Linked DNA regions of Drosophila melanogaster. Changing the gene in region 3 together with the main gene of any one other region gives a genetic interaction. Each region holds a gene or a part of one and is shown on either strand. Other genes may lie near its edges. The genes, in order: Gug, Hsp83, DnaJ-1 and lz.

What was found.
Region 1: of DnaJ-1 (region 3) and Gug, changing one suppresses a phenotype caused by changing the other (phenotypic suppression), as found in Drosophila melanogaster (one study listed by BioGRID).
Region 2: of DnaJ-1 (region 3) and Hsp83, changing one suppresses a phenotype caused by changing the other (phenotypic suppression), as found in Drosophila melanogaster (one study listed by BioGRID).
Region 4: of DnaJ-1 (region 3) and lz, changing one suppresses a phenotype caused by changing the other (phenotypic suppression), as found in Drosophila melanogaster (one study listed by BioGRID).

What each region holds. Positions count from the first base shown.
Region 1 is NT_037436.4:8,448,079-8,452,950, forward strand, and holds the start of Gug (grunge), read left to right. Parts: upstream 1-1,843; 5' UTR 1,844-2,379; intron 2,380-2,569; exon of another isoform or gene 2,570-2,609; intron 2,610-3,696; 5' UTR 3,697-4,050; intron 4,051-4,872. Other genes in the region: CG6983 (uncharacterized protein), read right to left, coding at 1,071-1,107.
Region 2 is NT_037436.4:3,191,121-3,197,589, reverse strand, and holds Hsp83 (heat shock protein 83), read right to left. Parts: upstream 4,622-6,469; 5' UTR 4,223-4,621; intron 3,092-4,222; coding exon 938-3,091; 3' UTR 531-937; downstream 1-530. Other genes in the region: CG14966 (uncharacterized protein), read left to right, coding at 70-492; CG14965 (uncharacterized protein), read left to right, coding at 5,160-6,469. UniProt on the Drosophila melanogaster protein: Molecular chaperone that promotes the maturation, structural maintenance and proper regulation of specific target proteins involved for instance in cell cycle control and signal transduction. Undergoes a functional cycle that is linked to its ATPase activity.
Region 3 is NT_037436.4:5,749,480-5,753,980, forward strand, and holds DnaJ-1 (DnaJ-like-1), read right to left. Parts: upstream 2,711-4,501; 5' UTR 2,115-2,710; coding exon 1,110-2,114; 3' UTR 550-1,109; downstream 1-549.
Region 4 is NC_004354.4:9,282,937-9,287,655, forward strand, and holds the start of lz (lozenge), read left to right. Parts: upstream 1-1,712; 5' UTR 1,713-1,800; intron 1,801-2,850; 5' UTR 2,851-2,984; coding exon 2,985-3,846; intron 3,847-4,719. Other genes in the region: c11.1, read right to left, coding at 1-13. UniProt on the Drosophila melanogaster protein: Involved in prepatterning photoreceptor precursors in the developing eye; in the larval eye disk it defines a subset of cells as an equipotential group that is competent to respond to the sevenless developmental signal and another subset that confer proper photoreceptor identity by positively regulating the homeo box gene Bar.

The DNA.
Region 1 (4,872 bases), 2.7 Mb from region 3:
TAAGCAAAAAATAATAATAATAAAAAAACAATAGTATAATAATTCTAAAGATCTGTTAATCACGTTTAAGCATTTCGTGTTTGCTTTCGCAATAATTTTATTATTCACCAAAATGGATCGAATATAACTGCCACTTGAAACTGCCGCTCAAAAACAAAAAAAAAAAAAATTCTGATAGCCGCTAATTGATGAAGAAAGTGTGTGAAGCGCGAAATGAAAACTATTTTCGTTTTCCATACGCTGCTTGCTGGCCACAATTCATTAACTTCTGTCAGGAGATCATAAATTAAAATTAATCTAAGACAATTTAAGCAGGCTGCAACAGGCTGATAAAAACTCGGGTCGAGCGCCGTTTGAAAAGCGATAAGCGAAACCCATTGAAGTCACGCGAATGGCGACAAAGTCGGCGAAATGGTAAAAATGGAAAATGGAAAACCATCGATTGCGGTGGCCAACAAAAGTGGGCGGTAGGTGGTCGAAATTGGCTTAGCTATGGCCATGAACAAATATTATTTTTAATATTGCGACAGAAAAGCAGGAAGAAGAGGTCAAAGAACAACAATTGGCGGAAATCGAATGTGTGAAGTGAACGGGAAGGAAATGGCCAAAACACTCGTGCACACATACACTTACTCTTACGCTTACTCACTCAAAGTTACACTTTTAATGTATCACATATATAATCAGACTTATTTCCCCCACTTTTTTTCAGTGCATTCCCAGCTGCATGTTGGTTTCTGCGCTAAGAAGTGCAGCTGTCCTGATTTGCAGAAAAGGTCAGCAAACAACAAGCGATTCCCTCGAGTGGCCTGACTTGCCTAAATTTAGCTCACTCTTTTCATTCTTTCTGTTCCAATTAAACCGAATTAATCGCCAAAATCCACGCGCAATTACCCCCACTTACCCTTTTTTTACCATCAACCAAAGAATCTACACCCCCCACCGCCGCCTTTTCCTAATGATATTTTAACGCACTTGAGCTGGTTTCTATGCAAATATTGGGCGCTACTTAATGGCCAAACAAATGAGTTGGGCAAATAACATCGGGAATCGGAGTTACTAATTTTTACCTTGATGCTCCACATTTTCAATGGACTCGTCGCACATTTTGAGGATCCGTAGATTCGCAGCTCTTGATTTGTTTTGGTTTTTTTTTGGTGGTAGTGTTAAATGCCAGCGATTTTGCGAACCCTCAGAATTTAAACAGACGACGCGCTTCTTTAGAATTTCCCGATTTTCGCAGCGAGGTGATTTAAATCAGAATCCAAAAACGACGAAAAACAAAATAAACAATAGTGGTGGTGCGTCGGTAGATTTCTTGTGGCTATCGATGTTAGGCGCAGAGTCGATAGTCGCTTCTGCCGAAATGGCGCTTTTGTTCACTGTTCTAACAGAAATGTTAATTTACAATAGGGATATTTTACAATCAGTTGGATTTTTAAAAATTAAATATAAGTTTGTGGAATCGAATTTTTCGCCTATTAGGACGAAAATTAAGCAATTTATTTTTAAAGTAAGCCCACAATATGCTGCGACAAACTGTTAATATAGATCGACTGTTAACCAATTAAACTCCAACTTTCATCGTATTAAATTTCATAGAAAATCTGAAACACAGCTGTTAGCCATATATTAATGTTTAAATATATATCATTTATTTTTTTAACATATGCTTTAGAAGTTTTTAAGTCTTGTTTAAACAAATAAATTACCATTTCAAAAGACAAACTTACGAGTGCTCACCAACGAAAGCTGTTGGCTACACAACAATTGCTGGCTTATTTAGCACATGACCACCAGCAATGCTGCCACTCTGCCACCGCCAGCCTTGCCAGACCCCGCAAAGTATATATTTTTACAAAATGGTGGCTTCTTCGCGGAGAAATTCGTAGTGGCGATTTTTAACAAAAAGCACGCATCTTGGCCAGCCAATTATTGTAATTTGCTGGCGAAAACATTCGCAACCACGCTGGCTGCGCCGTGTGGCTGAAAATTCCGCGAAAAAGCAACCGAAAATCGCACAAGAACCCAGTGAAAATAACTGAAAGCGAAGGCAGGCAATAAAAAAAACGCAAGCAAGCAACCAAAGTGCGTGCCTGTGTGTGTGTGTGTTCGAGTGTACGTCTGTGTGCGCTGCTCTCTGTCTGTGCCTGTGTGTGCGAGTGTGCCTCTCTGTCAGTGTGTGTGTGCGCAAAGTGTATGCAAAAAAAGAAGAAGAGAAACGAAGAAGAGCATTAAAAAAAAGCGTACGACGAGTTTCACGCGCGCCCAACAACAAAAACACCAGAAAGCAGCAACAGCAACAACAACAAAATCCAACAACACTTGGCAGCAGCGGCAGCAATAAAAAAAAAAGCAACAACAAGCAAGCAGCGAAACGTAAGGAAAAATCTACAACAAGTGTGCGAAAATTAATTATTACTAAGTGTGTCACTAATTTAATTTGGAATCGCAGTTGCGCAGCGTGCAAATCATTCAAATTTATGTGAAGTCTTTCGGGCAGCAAAAAACAAAAAACAAAAAAATAACGAAAAACAGTAAAACAGAGAAAACAGTGGCGTATCCCCCCCCCCCCCCCCGCAGTTTTTGAAAGGGTGACCGACGGATGGGTGGGTGTTTGAATCCAGTCTATTATGAACTTTTTGGGGTAGAACAATGCAAACACGAACGAAGGCTCAACAAATTTGCTGAAAAGGAATCGCAAGCGCAGCAGCAGCAACAACAAAGCAAAAATCCAAGCGTCAGCAGCACGGGCAGCAACTAAAACAACAAAAACAGGCCAAGCAACAACAGCAGCAACCCACCACCGTTGTTGCCCCTTTGTTATTGTTGTTGTTGTTGTTGTTATCGTCGGCGTCACCACCGACGCGACGCAACGCGACGCTCTTGCGGCCAGCGCACCCACCACCCCCCAAGGATGCTCCTGCCTCGGACTAACCCCATTCCTGTAAAGCCCCCCCCCCCCCACACCGCCCTTCCCTGTTCCTGTGACCGCTCCTGCTGGCCGTGCTTCTTCTTCTTCTTCTTCCACTCAGTCAATTGCTGTTGCTGACGTTGTCGGAAAAATGTGTCTTGTTGCCTTTTTGCTGGCTGATAAATAAGCTAAAATATGTACTTACCCACTATTAATGCTAGAGAAGTGTTTGGAATTGTATTTATTGGCAATAGATTATAAAAAATATCGCTATAACTGGCGTTATTCCCCGTACTAATAGTACTATTGATATGGACTACTACGACTTACTTAGATATGTCATCTTGGTACTAAAGATTTTCTGATAGCTATTGTTATTCAATATTATACAGTCCAAATAGATAGATAGATTGATTATTATTATTACAGATGTTTTGAACATAGGTCTGCCTGGTTTACATTGTTTATAAAATTTAATAAGGAAAGGATCAAAGAATATGGGTCACATTATTATGTAATTAAAAGTTCTCAACTCAAAACCAGGTACATAGGATTTCAACTATGCTATGCAAATAGCTAACGTATAAAATTGCCAAGTTCTATGGCCTCATTTGGCGACTGCTTTTGGTAGTAGTATCGCTAGTGGGGCATTGTTTTTTCGCAGGGCGCTCCTTGCGCCCCAGCTGCTCAATTCTTCTGTTTGGTTCTTTCATTTTCTTTTTCTTTCGCTTAATCATCTCCATCGTCTCGGCTCTCACCTACGTCATCTCTTCGCCTTCCAGCTGTGTTTGTGCAAATTAACCGAAATATACATTTCCGGCTACTCGCTGCCTCCTCGCTGAGCAACAACTACAAAAACAACAACACCAATAACAACAGCAGGAACAACAATATCAAGAACAACAGGAGCAAAGCAACAAGAACCACCACGACCGCCGCCCACCCCCTTTGAAAATCCATCGACACAGCACCACATCACCATCGTCGTCATCATCATCATCATCCTCAGCAACTTGGAGTCTGGAATCTGGAGACGGAGACCGTAGACCGGAGTTACTTTGCCGCCTGCTGCTGGAGAGAGGAGCATCTTCGTGCGGGACGCCTCGACGATACACAACCCCGACTACGGATTCATGGTGAGCCAAGACATCTGTTCGAGCCCGGCGCACACATTTAATTATAATTATTTGTTTGCTTAATTCGATACTTCACGCTGGCCCCCGTCTCATGTGTCACATCCCCTCGATGGGGTTGCTTGTTCATTGTGCCGAAGGGTTTCCACTCGGCTAATGGAGGAAACTATTTTCCAATGGTATCCCAAAGCAATTAGAAAACCGGGGGGCGCGTGCCCCTAATCCGTTGCTTTGCTATTGTCGCTCATATTCGGATTTGTGGTGTTCATTTTGTGGGCTGGTGGTATTTAGGGGGAATTGCGATTAGATCGATGATAAGGCTTACACATACCCTAAACCCACTGAAACAGATCTTTATCGCCGCACTTGTATACTGCTAATGAGTTGCCTTGTAGGCCAATTAGTACACCCTTGTTCGGAATGAAAAAAAAAAGGGTTGACCGGGATCAGACAGTTTAGAAACTCTTTAGCGCATTGTTGGAAAATATTCCACTTGTTAATAACTATATGAATCTATCAAAACTAGTTTTGGTTGTCCTCTATATGTTTATCAATTTAAATAAAGATAATATTGATTAGCTGCCATTTTGTATTTATAGTGTCATCGTTTTATGGCCACATCTAGTTAAATAGATTAATTTGTATTGTAGCTATTGTAGGTCACTTGTTATACAAGCAATATGGTGCAGGATTAAATCAGAGCTAATGAGGGATTACCAGGTCATATGATACGCAATTTTACGCATTGTTCATGGGGGATTTACGGATCTCTTTATCTCTTCCAATGAAGTGCCATGGTTTAACTTGCTTTTAGCCAAGTGAAAT
Region 2 (6,469 bases), 2.6 Mb from region 3:
ATTAAACACTAGTTGCTATTAAAATGCATTTAAAAACACAAAATATTTAAAATAATTGCCAAGAAGCTAATGCGCCGCTTGTTTACATCGGTCAACGCCCAAATAATGTCGAAGAGCAAGGGGAAATCAAAGGCCGGCGTTGAAAGTGCGAAAAACGATGCAAAAGCGATGCCGGCTAAGGAAGCCAGTCCGATTTCAGTCGATAAGAGCGGCAATATATGCATACAAATCCTTGCCAAGCCGGGGGCTAAGCAGAACGGAATCACAGGAATTGGCTTTGAAGGAGTGGGCGTCCAAATCGCCGCTCCGCCCAGCGAGGGAGAAGCTAACGCCGAACTGGTCAAGTTTCTGTCGAAAGTTCTAGGTCTTCGAAAGAGCGACGTTTCTTTGGACAAGGGATCTCGATCGCGAAACAAGATAATAATGATAACCAAGGGAGTGTCCACGGTGGAGGCCATTGAGCAGCTGCTGCGCAAAGAATCCGATTCATAGATTGTTTATTCCCCCCAATAAATACTCGCTCAGAAGTTAGATTTTTAAAACACATTTGCTTGTTGTTTATTTGGTTTTATGTTTATCATCGATCGGGTCATCAAACCTTAATTATATATATACTCGATTCTTTATATAGCTCTACCAACTAGGGCGCGTATGTAGTCTTTAGTTTTTTACATAAATTACTTGGATTCTAAATTATAAGTTCTTAAAACGACAACTGCTCTTGAATGTTCTGTGAGAACCTAACCATTTAACGAGTTATTCCTGCTTTTTTATGAGTTAAGCGTATGTCTGTCGCTTATAACGCGGCAAAATGTTAATGAATACAAAATTTAACTCGGCCGTAGTAAACTCAGTATAAAAGTTCGAAACGCAAGTAAATTGTGTATGTGAATGCGAGTGATAGAATGAATTTTGGTTGTTTGTTTCGACTGGTCGCTTAATCGACCTCCTCCATGTGGGAAGCGTCCTCTGTGTCCTCAACCAGCGAGGGGGCATCTCCGGCGCTCTGGGCATCGTCGGTAGTCATAGGCTCGTCCTCGTCGATTCCCAAGCCCAGCTTGATCATGCGGTAGATGCGGCTGGCGTGCACCTGGGGGCTGTCCAGCGAGAATCCAGAGGACAGCAGAGAGGTCTCGAACAGCAGGATGACCAGATCCTTGACGGCCTTATCGTTCTTGTCGGCATCGGCCTTCTGGCGGAGAGTCTCCACAATTGGGTGATCGGGGTTGATCTCCAGCTGCTTCTTGCCGGCCATGTAGCCCATTGTGGCGGTATCACGCAGAGCCTGGGCCTTCATGATGCGCTCCATGTTAGCGGACCAGCCGAACTGCGAAGTGACAATGCAGCAGGGCGAATCCACCAGGCGGTTGGACACCACCACCTTCTCGACCTTGTTGTCCAGGATGGACTTCATCAGCTTGCACAGGCTCTCGAACTTGGCCTTGTCCTCCTCGCGCTTCTTCTTCTCGCTCTCATCCTCAGGCAGCTCCAGACCCTCCTTGGTGACAGAGACCAGCTGCTTGCCCTTGTACTCCTTCAAGTGCTGGATGACATACTCATCGATGGGCTCGGTCATGTAGACCACCTCGAAGCCACGGGCCTTGACGCGCTCCACGAAGGCAGAGTTGCTGACCTGGTCCTTGGACTCGCCAGTGATGAAGTACACGTGCTTCTGGTTATCCTTCATGCGCGACACGTAGTCGGCCAGGGAGCAGAAATCGTCGCCGGAGGCAGAGGTGTGGAAGCGAAGGAAGTCGGCCAACTTGGCACGGTTGTTGCTGTCCTCGTGCACACCCAGCTTCAGGTTCTTGCTGAACTGGTCATAGAACTTCTTGTAGTTCTCCTTGTCCTCGGTGAGCTCCTCAATCAGCTCCATGGTCTTCTTGACCAGGTTCTTGCGGATCACCTTTAGGACCTTGTTCTGCTGCAGCATCTCACGTGAGATGTTGAGGGGCAGATCCTCGGAGTCGACCACACCCTTCATGAAGTTCAAGTACTCTGGAATGAGGTCCTCGCAGTTGTCCATGATGAAGACACGACGCACGTACAGCTTGATGTTGTTGCGCTTCTTCTGGTTCTCGAAGAGATCGAAGGGCGTGCGACGGGGAATGAAGAGCAGAGCACGGAACTCCAGCTGACCCTCCACGGAGAAGTGCTTGACGGCCAGATGATCCTCCCAGTCGTTGGTCAGGGATTTGTAGAACTCGCCGTACTCCTCCTGGGAGATATCATCGGGATTGCGGGTCCAGATGGGCTTGGTCTTGTTCAGCTCCTCATCCTCAGTGTACTTCTCCTTGATGGTCTTCTTCTTCTTGGCATCCTTGTCCTTCTTGTCGGCATCCTCATCCTCGCCAACATCCTCGATTTTGGGCTCATCAGTCTCCATCTCCTTCTTCTCATCACCTTCCTTCTTCTCATCATCAGCCTCATCGTCGCTGACCTCCTTCTCGCGCTCCTTCTCTACGAGCAGCTTGATGGGGTAGCCAATGAACTGGGAGTGCTTGTTAACAATCTCCTTGATCTTGCTCTCCTCCAGATAGTCGGTCTGGTCCTCCTTGATGTACAGCACGATCTTGGTGCCACGGCCCAGGGGCTCAGAGTTGTCGGCACGGACTGTGAAAGAGCCTCCGGCAGAGGACTCCCACACGTACTGCTCGTCATCGTTGTTCTTGGAGGTGACAGTCACCTTGTCGGCGACCAGGTAGGCGGAGTAGAAACCCACACCGAACTGACCGATCATGGAAATGTCGGCACCAGCCTGCAGAGCCTCCATGAAGGCCTTGGTTCCGGACTTGGCAATGGTTCCCAAGTTGTTGACCAGGTCGGACTTGGTCATACCGATACCGGTATCAATGATGGTCAGAGTACCAGCCGTCTTGTTAGGGATCAGCTTGATGTACAGCTCCTTGCCAGAGTCCAGCTTGCTGGGGTCAGTAAGGGACTCATAGCGGATCTTGTCCAGGGCATCGGAAGCGTTCGAGATCAACTCGCGCAGGAAAATCTCCTTGTTCGAGTAGAATGTGTTGATGATCAGGGACATCAGCTGAGCAATCTCAGCCTGGAATGCAAAGGTCTCTGCTTCTTCTGGCATCTGCAATGGATTTACAAAATCATTAGGATTAGTTATAGTCTGTGGGTTCAACACTAAGGAAAAGCAGCTGCATTTTCAGCAGCTGCTCCGGTTTTATTCTTTTTCTTTCTTTCTCTTTTGCACATGCCTCATTTAACATGCGCATATACAAGTACAGTGGTGGTCAAAATTATAGCATTCACTTTGCAACCCGTAAAATGGAATTTTAATTTCAATTAGCCAACAGAATTGATTTTAAGTTGCAAAATAATGTTTTAAATTTAAATATTTAAATATAATTATGCAAATTGGGTCGGTTGATAATTTTTCTACCCCTGCTGTGTGCAAACTCGTGTCTGTGTGAGTGAGCATTGCATTGAAAATTCGTACTTCACCAAGGAAGTTTGTGGAAGCATCTAGAAGCCAAAGGAAAACTAATTCGCCTAGCAAGTTGCTAGTAGCAACCAACCAATTAAAATAGAGCAAATAGGATTAAAAAACCGATTTAACAGAATTTGCTTACTGACGCCACATTTTTACTTGAAAGTATTAGTCATGGGCGTGCATGTGTGCGTATGCGGCATGTGCAATTTAAAATGGGAATGCAAAGAAAGCACGTGTAATTGTAAATGAAGGACAGTAATTTATAATTAAAAAGCCTATTTGGCACGCTGTTTAATTCATGCTAAAGCATAGAAACCTCTAGAACATTCTCGAGCGGCAAATGTGATTTGCGCATTGTCACCCCCTAAAAAGAGCGGCATAATTCGATTTAGCGCTAAAAGACCATTGCATTAAACAAAAATTAATCTTGTATTCTATAAACCACATGTAATTGTAAATAAAGGACAGTAATATATAATTAAAAGGCCTATTTGGCACGATGTTTAATTCATGCTAAAGCATAGAAACCTCTGGAAGATGCGTCCAAGCGACAAAAAATAAAAGAAACCGGCATTTTGAGTTAATTTGCACGTTGCCACCTCTTAATTAATCAAAAAAAATTCTTAAACTTGGCTCCTAGAAATTTAAAATCAATATCTCACATTTGGGTCAAGAACATTCGAGATGCACAGGACCACGCAAAATGCACATTTTGGCCATAGCCACTGATAAACTATTCACTCTTTTCTTGTAATTTGCATTACTCACCTTGTATGTATGTTTTTCGTTCTATTCACAGAATAAAGGTAAAAATACAGATATTTTCACTTTGCTTTGTATAGAATTGGAAATTCACAAAACTTTTCAGACGCTGCTTGTTGTTACGACGCACACCGTACGAAATTTTTTTCAAGACTCGAACCGGCAAACGCCGCGCGTCTGCTTTTATAGAAAAACCCGACCCGAACTGGAAGTCTCTAGAAACTTCTAGAGGCTTCTGGATGCCAGGGATGCAACTTCCTGTGAATACTAGGGTAGATCAGTGTTGTGATACGGTCGAAAAGTGCGCAACCTGTGCGGGCGAATTCAAAAATTATACTGAACTAAGTTTGGTGGAAATTCGTCTAAGTGGTCCGAACGATTGAGCAAAGCCCACTGGGATTGCTTAAAACATTACAATTGGATATCAAAACGCCCACTAGGCTTATACTGTAATTAGGAAAATGGAAAATTTAATTGTTCCCAATATTATTTTACTTGTTTTAACAGTAAATAATAAACAAATCAGCTTATGACCTGTTAATTTTTATTTATATTTATGAATACTTTTCTCCACCAGACTATCGATATTTCCAGAGTTTCAGAGACTTGGTGGTGCAAGCTGGTTCCTCTGGAATAAACTAGTTCCATTTTAAGCGGACGGTAAAATTTGAAATCACTTGAGTGGGTTTGGGGAACAAAAATTGGAAAGTTTTTGTTGTAATTAGCTAAAAAGCAGACATTTCACATTCCGGAAAATAATTGCTTCTGTGCAAAACCTGCTACAAGCCCAGTCAAGTAAAAAATCTCTCATTAATTAAGAAGTGTCATATCGATCATTTGGTTTCGGTCAATTCTGTTATCGATGCCTCCCATCGATATCACCAGCTGACGCTAACACTTCCACCACTAATAACATAAAAGTTGTTTGCTTATATTTAAACAAATGGGCGGCACTAAGTGTTGTTTTCGTGATTGTCCGGTGGGTTCTAGCCGCAACCCCAATATGCACTTCTTCAAGTTCCCCGTTAAGGATCCGAAGAGGTTGAAAGATTGGGTCAGGAATTGTTCAAACCCTGACGTTTCAAATGCACCGCCGTCCAAACTGGCAGCCAAAACAGTTTGTGCCCGGCACTTTCGAGCGGAATGCTTCATGAACTACAAAATGGACAGACTCATCCCAATGCAGACGCCCACTTTGTTCAGGATCAACAGGGATCTGGCACTAGACTATGAAAATCTCGACCAGAACGGTGAAGCTCTTCTCGTGAAGTTGACGCCTCCAAAGCAGCAACACCTAATACCACCTAAAGATTTCGAGTGTCCTCTGGGATTCGTGGATGGTGAGACACAGAATTTGGATGTTGTTAAGAAACGAAATACAGTAGAGTTGACAGAAGAGGAGGAACCGCAAGGGAAAGACGAAGCCGACGAAGTGCTGGCTACGGAGCAGGAACAGCCGGTTGTACACACGGAGAAAACAACGGTGGCGCATAAGAGTTCTACAACATCAACAAGCGCTTCGGCTATGCCTCAAAACATTCTAGATATCATAAGTCAACTTCAGCCTTCATTGGGCATCAAATTGATTAAAAGACCAGTAAAGCGTCAATCAGGAAGCGAGAATGAGTTGTTTCAGCTTGAAGAGCAGCTCCCAAAAGAACAAACTGATGATACAAGCAAGATGCGAACAGTCACCAAGGAATCAGAAAAGCAAATTAAATCAAAAAGTTGTATTATTGACGTTATGAAAATGCCAAAGCTTGCCGATAAATGTCAAGAAAAGCAAGTGCCAACTAGAAAAGAGTACCGACCAATTAAAGGGACTGTGGTTAGAAAACGTGGGATGCAGGAGGCAGATGCTGATAGACTGAACGAAGATGAATCCACCAAGGAGCAGGCTAAGAAAAGGAAGCTACCCCAAGAAGCACAAAAGACTGACTCCCACGCTTCACCTGAGAACGGTACGATATTGAACCGATATACACAATTGCAAGAGAAATTCTGGGATGAGCAGAAGACTCCGATGTTGGAGAAACCCACCCAATCCATCCAAATTAATCTTAGTTCTAGCAAAGAAAATAGTCAGAGTGATTCCATTTCCGAAACCTTATCTGAATCTTTTCTAAACCTTGAAGAGAACATACCACTTAGTACTGACAGTGAGGACGAGTCTGAACCAGATGAAAAACCATCTTCATCGGAAGATGCCCATCGCGATAAGCTTCTTCAGGAGTACGATAAACTGCAGGCCGA
Region 3 (4,501 bases):
GCAACAGTAAAGAAAGTAAAAAGAAATACACAATGATTATACAATTGCAAATGCAACTTAACACTCAACATAAGGATAGTGAAAATGTGTGACAAATGATTAAATTACGAAATCCTTTTGAAGAGAAAACAAATGAAAATAAAATGTGAAATTTAAAATAAAATTAACATGGAATTTCTTTTTATTGATTCTCTTTTTGGCTTTCGGGGATTTCAGGTTTTGGAAAAAGGATTTTAAACAACGATTTTATTTTAAATTTCATCTTTTCCACTCGACGTTTTAAACAAACGTTGCCAGTGATGCCAGATGGTTTTTGAAATGTAACACACGATCTATACACGCCAGGTGGCGTGTTGCCCTCTGGAAGTTTCCACATGTGGAGACTTTTGAATTGTTTGGCGCGCTAGTTATATATATTTAAAAATAGAAGAAATTGCCAGCAATACATGTTGTTTTGGTTTTAGCCACCACATTTTGATTGCCACCACGTGAAATCTAGCAATTTCTATAATGCTTGCAACCCACTGACCCAGAAACGACACTTGATGTGTGTATAAGTAATTTTATTGTTTATAACATAATAGAATTGGTACTAAAACGTACTATGTCCTTACGGCGTATAAATCTATAAGTGTTCTACTAACTGATGTAACCTCCCCGTGTTGGAATGCCGAAAATGTGCTTTGCTTGAAAAATGGTTAGTTACTTTAAATTTATAATACCTCATTTATTTAATATTTTGTTTTGGGATTATTATGTATAAGATGTTGAGGCACCGATTCATGTGGCGGTAAACAAAACAACTTATGGAATTTGTGTAATGCTAAATAGCTAATAATCGATCAGTCTCCAACACGAAACGGGCTACACGGGCTGCTTTATGTGTGTGTGTGTGTGTGTGTTGTTCTCTTTCCTAATCCTATCCAGCGCTTGCATCCTCGGCCAATATCTACAGCTCTTCGCTTGGCACACTCACTAGCTTAGGGCTACAATTGGTTAGGCTAAGTTGTCTTACGAGTACGTACGGTAAATTAAATATAGGCCTTAACTAAAGTGATAACAATTATATGCGTGTGTGTGTGTGTGTGTGTGGCTGGCACAGCTCTAGCCTAGTTGGGCAGCAGCTCGGACAGCTGATTCTGCAGACTGGGTGCCAGTGTGTCGGGAAACTTAATGTCGAAGGAGACGATCAGATCGCCGCGCCTCGATGGCTCCTTGGGCACCGGCAGACCCAGTCCGTTGATCCGGCGCGTTGTGGTGGGCTTGATGATCTCGTGGTTCGGATTCACCTGTATCCTGCTGCCCTGCAGCGTGGGCACACTAACCAGTGCTCCGCACAAGGCCTGCTTCAGACTGATCTGGGCTGTATACTTTAGATCGATTCCCTCGCGTTTGAACAGCGAATGCGGTTTGTCGCGAATGATGAAGACGATGTCAGCTGGCGTCTTGTTTGGCGCCGAATCACCCTCTTGGGGGAAGGTAATCTTGGTACCGGCCTTCCAGCCCGGCTTCACTGTGATCCTCAGCACCTTCTCCTCCTTGTACGGCCCATTGCTTCCGGTGGCCATGCGTGAGATTTTCATCTTCTTGATGCATCCCTTGTCCACTTCCTCCAGCGACACGAACAGATCATGCTCGATGGGCGGATCCTGCTGGCGCTTGCGACTGGGTGCCTGGGCATTAAAGGCAAACATATCGTCGCCGCCAATGTTCCAGAAGATCTCGTTGGTATTGCCGCCCTGACCGCCACTAAACATGTTATCGCCGCCGGTAAAGAACGCGCCAAACGGATCCGACGATCCAAAGAACTGGGCAAATGTGGCCCTCGGATCGCCGTGGAACTGGTAAGTGTACGCTCCCGGCTGACCGCCGCCATCTGGTCCCGGCTGTCCGCCCTTCAATCCATCCTCACCGTAATTGTCGAAGATGTCGCGCTTCTTTTTGTCCGACAGCACCTCGTACGCCTCGGCGATCTCCTTGAAGCGCTCCTCCGCCTGTGGGCTCTTGTTCTTGTCGGGATGGTATTTGAGTGCCAGTTTGCGGTAGGCCTTCTTGATCTCATCGTCGCTGGCCTTGCGCTCGAGGCCCAGAATCTTGTAGAAGTCTTTGCCCATCTCTCAGCTGAAAATATAGGGGAAACACAAACGAACGAACGCTATAGATTAGAATGAATACTGATTGCCAGCTTGCTGGGTTGGGGCGATGGAAAGTGCTAGAAGCACAGAACAGCACAGTTGTGCAACTGCCGTGTTGTCACGCGAGTGACGTATGTAGTCACCATCAACGAGAGCTCCGCTCCCGATGTGCTTCTTTCAGCAGATCAAATCGATGCGCCCACATGTGGCAATATGTCCAACGAAGCTTACCTTAAATGTAAGCGATTGTCTGGGAATCCGTAAAAGTTCAAAAATCCAAGTGGAAAAGTGCAAAATGCAATGGCAAAGTGCAATTGTTGGTATTGTTCACTGTGTATTCACACTATTTATATTTTCACGGGGCAATGTTCTTTAAATATTTATGAGTTTTGTCTCTTTCTCGCAATTGATTCAATTCAATTGTTCTTCTTCGCTTTTTTCTTTATCCACCAAATGTGGCTTGCGCACTAAAAACACACCCTACTTCAGAGTTTCTTTCTCTTCAAAATTTTGTTTAATAATGAGCGGGATTCGTGCGTCAACCTCATTTTATAGGTTCGCCCTCGTCTACGTCGAAATTTCTGGATGCTTCTCGGATTTTAGGGTTGTATCTCGAAAACGTTTGACTGCGAATGTCAATATCGATATGCTAACCGATAGCTGTCGATGTTTTAAACACAGTGCACTGTTTTTAAATCGCTCCCCATTTATATATATTTGTGCATGCTTTTGGCGGTGACTCTTCTTTATATGCTTCTTATGCTTTTACGATTATTATTAGCGCTTATTTGATTGCAAATGCCAAGGAAAGCGTGACTGTGATGGCGAAATGCGGAAAGTACTCCTTAAATCTCATATATCGCATAAAACTATCGGTTCTGGAATGTTTCGTGTAAGTCTGCGAAGATAGAGATCGATCTATTTTGAGGATACATTTGTTAATATTATAAGGGATTCTTCTACAGGGGTCAGATTGCTTAAAAACACACAGAAAAATAAACAAAATATTTCTTTGAAATATTGAAATATTTGAAATAGAAAAAACGTATTGACGAGGTAAGCATATTGTAAAAAGATAGGAAGGTGATGGAGAAAGTTGCACTTATATTGTTCAACCAAAGAGCTTATAATCAAAAGATCAATAGATATAAATATCTTTATATGATATAAAATATAATACATATAATATATTATAATATACAATGTATAAATTGCAAGTGTCAAATTGAATTCTTAGTGTAATATTCAAGCCAACGAAAAGTAACTGAAAGTTGAAATAAATAAATTTTTAAACTTTGCCAGTGTGACCGTAAGACCAAGACTTGGGCATTGCCACAGCTGCAATGCGTTTAGTATTTTACAGTCAGCGGCGGGCAGTCACACCGGAACGAGCACGTCTGGTAAAACAGCCGAACGGAACAACAAAAAACAATTGTAAAAATGACCCGTCGAGGCTCGTTTTAAGCGAATTTCTAGCGCAGTCAGGACGCAGGAGCAGCCGAGCAGGCCGGGATTAGGACCGGAGGAGCAGGATCATCGGGAGAGTAGAGCCGAAACCCACACTCACACACAAACGCAGCCGTATACCGCAGTATTTTCATACACACACACACACTTGAGGTGAGTGAGACGGAGGTACACACACATGCACACATACAGAGAGAAGAAAACAAGGCGCCCCACGAATTTTTGCAAAATATGGACGCGCCTTGCTAGGGACTAATTGCCAGCGCGAAGGACAACCATTGGGGCCACTTTTTGGGCCAAACTCCGGCCGACATATGCGTGTCACGTTCCACAGTCGAAGCCTTGACCGATCGCCCCGCCCACCGTTCACCGCCCCATCGCTGGAAGTATTGCGCAAACGAATGTGACCCTTAACCCTTGCCCCCCCCCCCCCTTCCACAAAGAATATCCTTTGGCATGGCGCCTGTTCAAAGGATGTCCCACTGCAGCAATGCAGCATTGTAGCAGCGACGGCAGACCCATAAAAATAGTCATTCATTCCCGCAAATAGAGAGCTGGCACATCGAAGAGAGCATACGGTCGACATTAATAGCACTTTCGCTGTAAACCCAAACATATCGCCTATATTCATTGAGTAATCCGTCTGGGTTCTAGGGACCCAAAAGTTCCCCCCAGTGAAATACCCACCCACTGCATTGTGCGGCGATAATCGTTATCAGTTGCAACTCGTGAGTGGTCATTGATATTCGCAAAAGGCAACTGGACAATGTTTGATTGTTATCAGACCCCTGATTGTAACCCAGTCAATAGCTTACATTACTCCCCATTATCCTGTTATTTGTTTAAAACAAGTGGCTTGGGTACTGTTGCAATCCGTGTATCTGTATTCATGTTCTTAT
Region 4 (4,719 bases), on a different chromosome or scaffold from region 3:
CTCGGCCGTCCATCTTCTTGGTGGAATTGCGCGTTCTCTTCCACTTCTCCAGCTTAACGGGATTTCAGACAGCGATTAACTTTAACGCGCACTTCGCGATCGCGGAAAAACTCGGAAAAACAAGAGATTCACTGCGTTGCGAAATTGTTTGTGTTTAAAACGGGTGGCTGCACTCACATAGGGGAAAAACGGCTGTGGAAATTTTAGTACGTTTTTTATCAACACCATGGACTAGTTGGGCTTCCGAACATGGTGTGTGCCCTCACTGTTCAGTGGTGGCGCAAACCATAGATGACCATAAAAATGAAATTCAAATGTACTGTGTATAAAATAATAGTTATGCATACAGTCTCGTTTTATTATACGGAATTAGCAATTAAGTAAATTTTAAATTTTAAGCTACACAGGCAGTACAGCATACTAATACAATATTAAAGGAAAAAACGCTTTTGAGGTAGTTTTGAAAGTATTTGAGAGCAATTGAAATGCTTAATTTTAATCACTTGATAGCACTTCTGAAATTAAATAGCATAGACATTTGATTTTCTCGCAATTTCTGCCCTCGCAGATAAGCTGACGTTCTTCTCACGCTATTATATTCCCAGCGATAAGAACTATTTCCCTTCGATGTGATAAGTCGGAGGTAAATTTAAAATAAACACTTTTTAAAATCATAAGAACTCTGCGTTGTTATTTTAATTCGATATCAGTATTTCGACCACAAACCAAGGCTGAACCACAAAATATGGCCCAATGATAGTCTCTTATCACGCCTTTCCTTCGCTAAAAAGAACACATGTCATTTGGAATCCTTGTTTTCTTTGCGCTAGCAACAACACACAGTTTTTAATTAACACTTTTTGCGATAATAGCAGATTTGATAAGCATGTTAAGTATCAGTTTTAAAGTAGATTCTCTGATTTTCATCTCTAATATCCAAAATGTATCTATATGAATACAATTTTCCATAAGTGCGTTTTAAATACATGTATGTTAAATTTTAAATAAAATAATAAAAAAAAAAACACAACTTATTTATTTTCTCATGAAAATCTAATCATATCCAGCTCCTAAATATTTTCGAAATTTCCCGGCTGAACAAGAGCGCCGCTCTTAAGTCGTCACGCTCTCAGCTGATTAAAGAGAGCGCGCTTAAATGCGATTCCAATTGGAAGTGGTTGCAGCCGGTGGTGGATGAAAATGTGTCCACCAATGGCGCGCCTCAAATGCCATGTCCACCTGACCAATCAGAATCCGGGGGCGGTGCCAAGTGCAAGGGAAACGCAGGAGCGAGCGAGAGGGAGAGCAACTGTTTATTTGATTAAGCATTTAAATTCTATTATTTTTAGCGAAATTTATTAAAAATTTGATGCAACAGCACTGCGTGGAATGGTGACTTGTCACAATGCACATACTAGGCCATGCATTTACAGAAGAGCAAGAGAGAGAGAGAGAGAGAGAGAGCGAGCAACTTAAGAGACCCAAAACGCCCCGGCCAAAGAGAGTCGTTCTCGTTCCAATTGGCTCGCGAGGCAAGTGGAAAAACGATTGGATTCGACTCAGAGCCGAGCTCAATCGTCTCGCGAAATTCAAGCGGCGCAGTCAAAAGTTAAAAGTCAGTTTCAGTTATGTTTTGGAGTACGACGCGCGAGCATTATTGTTTCCATTGTTAGCGAAGTTTTTAATCGACTGAAAGAAACACAAGAAAATAACACCTCGCTTACGTGTTAACCCTTTTTTTTTGTAACTTGTGCTTAAGTCACTTAAAGAAATACCGAAGAAAGTAAACTAAGTGTGTGTGTAAGTGTTAAACAAAGTAGTAAACAAAAAGCGCGCCAAAATCGGCTAACTTTTAGTTATTAACTCGAATTTCGTCACCAACTAAATTTAAACAAAAGAGCGACACAGTTTCGCCAGAAACTTGCATTCAAACATATTGTTAAACAGTTTTACATTAAACTAAACACAAACCAAAGTGCTATTAAGTGCAGTTAGTAACAAAATAAAAGTGATAAATGGTGACACAAACGAATTAAGGCAATGTTTTTATGACAAAAACTTAAGTTCATATTTTTTAAGGCTTTATTTTGCGACTGTGAAATAATTTGTTTACTTTGTTGCTTGTTCTCAAACAAATAATATACAATAGTAATTGTAAAAGCTTCTTATACATTGTTTGAATAAACAAATAACTGACTCTTTTACAACCATTTATGATTACTTGGGAGATCAGTTGTGAACATTAAATGTTTATATTGTACTATATTGTTTTTACACCGATTCCCAGAAATATCATCAAAGTTAAACTCGAGAAAAGGAGGCCCGTCTGCGAATCGGGAGTCAAACATAGAGTATTACTAATTAGCCGAGTGAAGTGCAAACAATAAAAATATCCAAATCAAACGAAATCAAATTTAATTAAGTTCAGAAATCATCTGGCAAAAGCATGCTCAAAAAAGAGAAAGAAAAAACAACAATAGCAACAAATGCACCGCTAATTCCTGTGACTAATTTATCAAAGTGCGAACTAGCAAAATGTCGATCGTCGTAGTACTCGCAGTTATTTAATATGTATTCAGAAAGGCAAACATATTTTTAATCATTTTTTAAATTTATATATATTGTTTTTTGCAATTATTTCTTTATTTAAACGTACGCCAGTGAACTGTTTCTATATGTACTTTAATTAAATTGCTTAATATGAAACAAATTTGAGATGTTGTCATGGATTGTTTTTAATGAATCGATCGGCATTTTAAGTTTTCAATTAAACACGAATCTTTCTCATATCGTAAGTGCAATTGCAAACAATTGTTAAGTACGCTTTTTTTTTTCTGTGAATTCGTTTAGAGATTAGAGTTTATTGATGAGTGAACAAAAGACACCGCCGGAGCGAAGTGTGATAAGCGCTTGACCTGCGACCCGCACACACTGCAAGAAAAAAAGGGGCAAGCGAGCGGATCAAAGGTCACCGCCGTCGACGAATGCATTTGCATCTCCTGGCGGCAGAGAAGACGCCTCCATCTCCATCTCCAAATCCAACTCCAACTCCATCAGCATCTCCATCTGGGCATACGGGCGCTGCTGGGGAGTCGCAATTGGACTTGGCATCGCAAACGGAATCGCAATTGCAGCTGGGCTTGCCATTGGCTTCCGGATACGGACTCGGACTCGGATTGGGACTGGGCTTGGGATTGGGACTGGGCCAGGAATTGGTGGCGGACCACAGCACCACTGTGGCGCCCGTCAGCGTTGCCGGTCCCGGCCGCCTGGGTCGCAGCATCAACGGCAGCGGCGGCAGCCACCACCATCACCACCTGCACCACCACTACTCACCGTACCACCACGCCCACCCCTACCACCCACCGCATCCGCACGCGCCCCACCACCACCACCACCACCACCCACCGTATCCGTATCCGCCGGCAGGACCACATCCGCCGGCCATGGTCACATCGTCATCCACATCGCCGACGGGCAACGGCTGGAGCAGCTCCACCGGCGACTTCAAGGGCATCACAGCGGTGGCGACGGCCACTGGCGGCGGCGTAGGTGGTGCCACCCAGGGCGCCACTGCATCCACGGGCGCCACAGCCGCTGAGGTTTTGGCCGTTTCGAGTAGTGCCAGTGTTGGCAGCAGCTCGCCCACAGGTGGCGCCAGCAATGGTACAGCCCATAGTGGGCATAGTGGACACACCGGCGGTCACAGCAGTAGTACCGCCAGCAACAACAACAACAACGGTGCCAGCAATAGCAATAGCAACAATAACAACGCCGTTCACCAGGATCTATTGTGGATGGAGCGATTGGTACAGAAGCGACAACAGGAACATCCCGGCGAATTGGGTGAGTTGTTGGTGGGATATTACCAATAACCTAGTAGTAACACAGTCTGCAAAAGGGTTAAGGATTAATAGCTACCTTAATGTCCTTCAAAATCAAAGTGAATATGAAGATATAGTCTAACTGGATTTGTAATTTCCCGTGAACAAAATTGATTGAACAGAGGGATTTAGCTTACTAACTGTAAATAGCAAATTCTTTGCTACCAGATTCCCAATATGATCTATGGTTCTTGATATAATATATCTTATGAATATAAGATTGATAGATAGATATATATATCAAGGCAAGCCTCTGCGGAGACAGCTCTTCCATTCACAAGGTATCAGCATCTTTAGCTCGTGTCGAGGGGATCTGGTGGATGCTTTGCAGGTCTGTTCGATAATCCGATCCCCGAAAGGTGGAGCGCACATTCTTGCCACATCCTTGCACAATGCACTTCTGGGGCTTCCACATCGTGGCAATCACGATCATCGGACGCAGCCTTATCGGATTCCATGGGTATGATGATCGTGATGATGATACCGATGGCGATGATGATGGTGATGCCAGTGAAGATGGGACTGGCATCGCCGTCGGAATATGCGTAAATTGATATCAATAATTGTTATTGATATCAACGCACGAGTCGTTCCCCTTTTTTATTTTGTTAATGCCACCTTTTTTTTTTTTTTCTTATTCCTTGCTGCCCGTTGAACTTTCCTCCCGATTTATCAATGATATCAATGACCCAGAGCGAAAGCTGCTAATGAAATCTCAGCTCATCGCACCGTCAGTCTTGAAATTAGCTGGGGAATCCGCAAACTGGTTATCCTATATGATTTTTTTTTTCACTTCTGAGTCCTTTCATAACTTGTGCTCAATGGATAGCCTTCA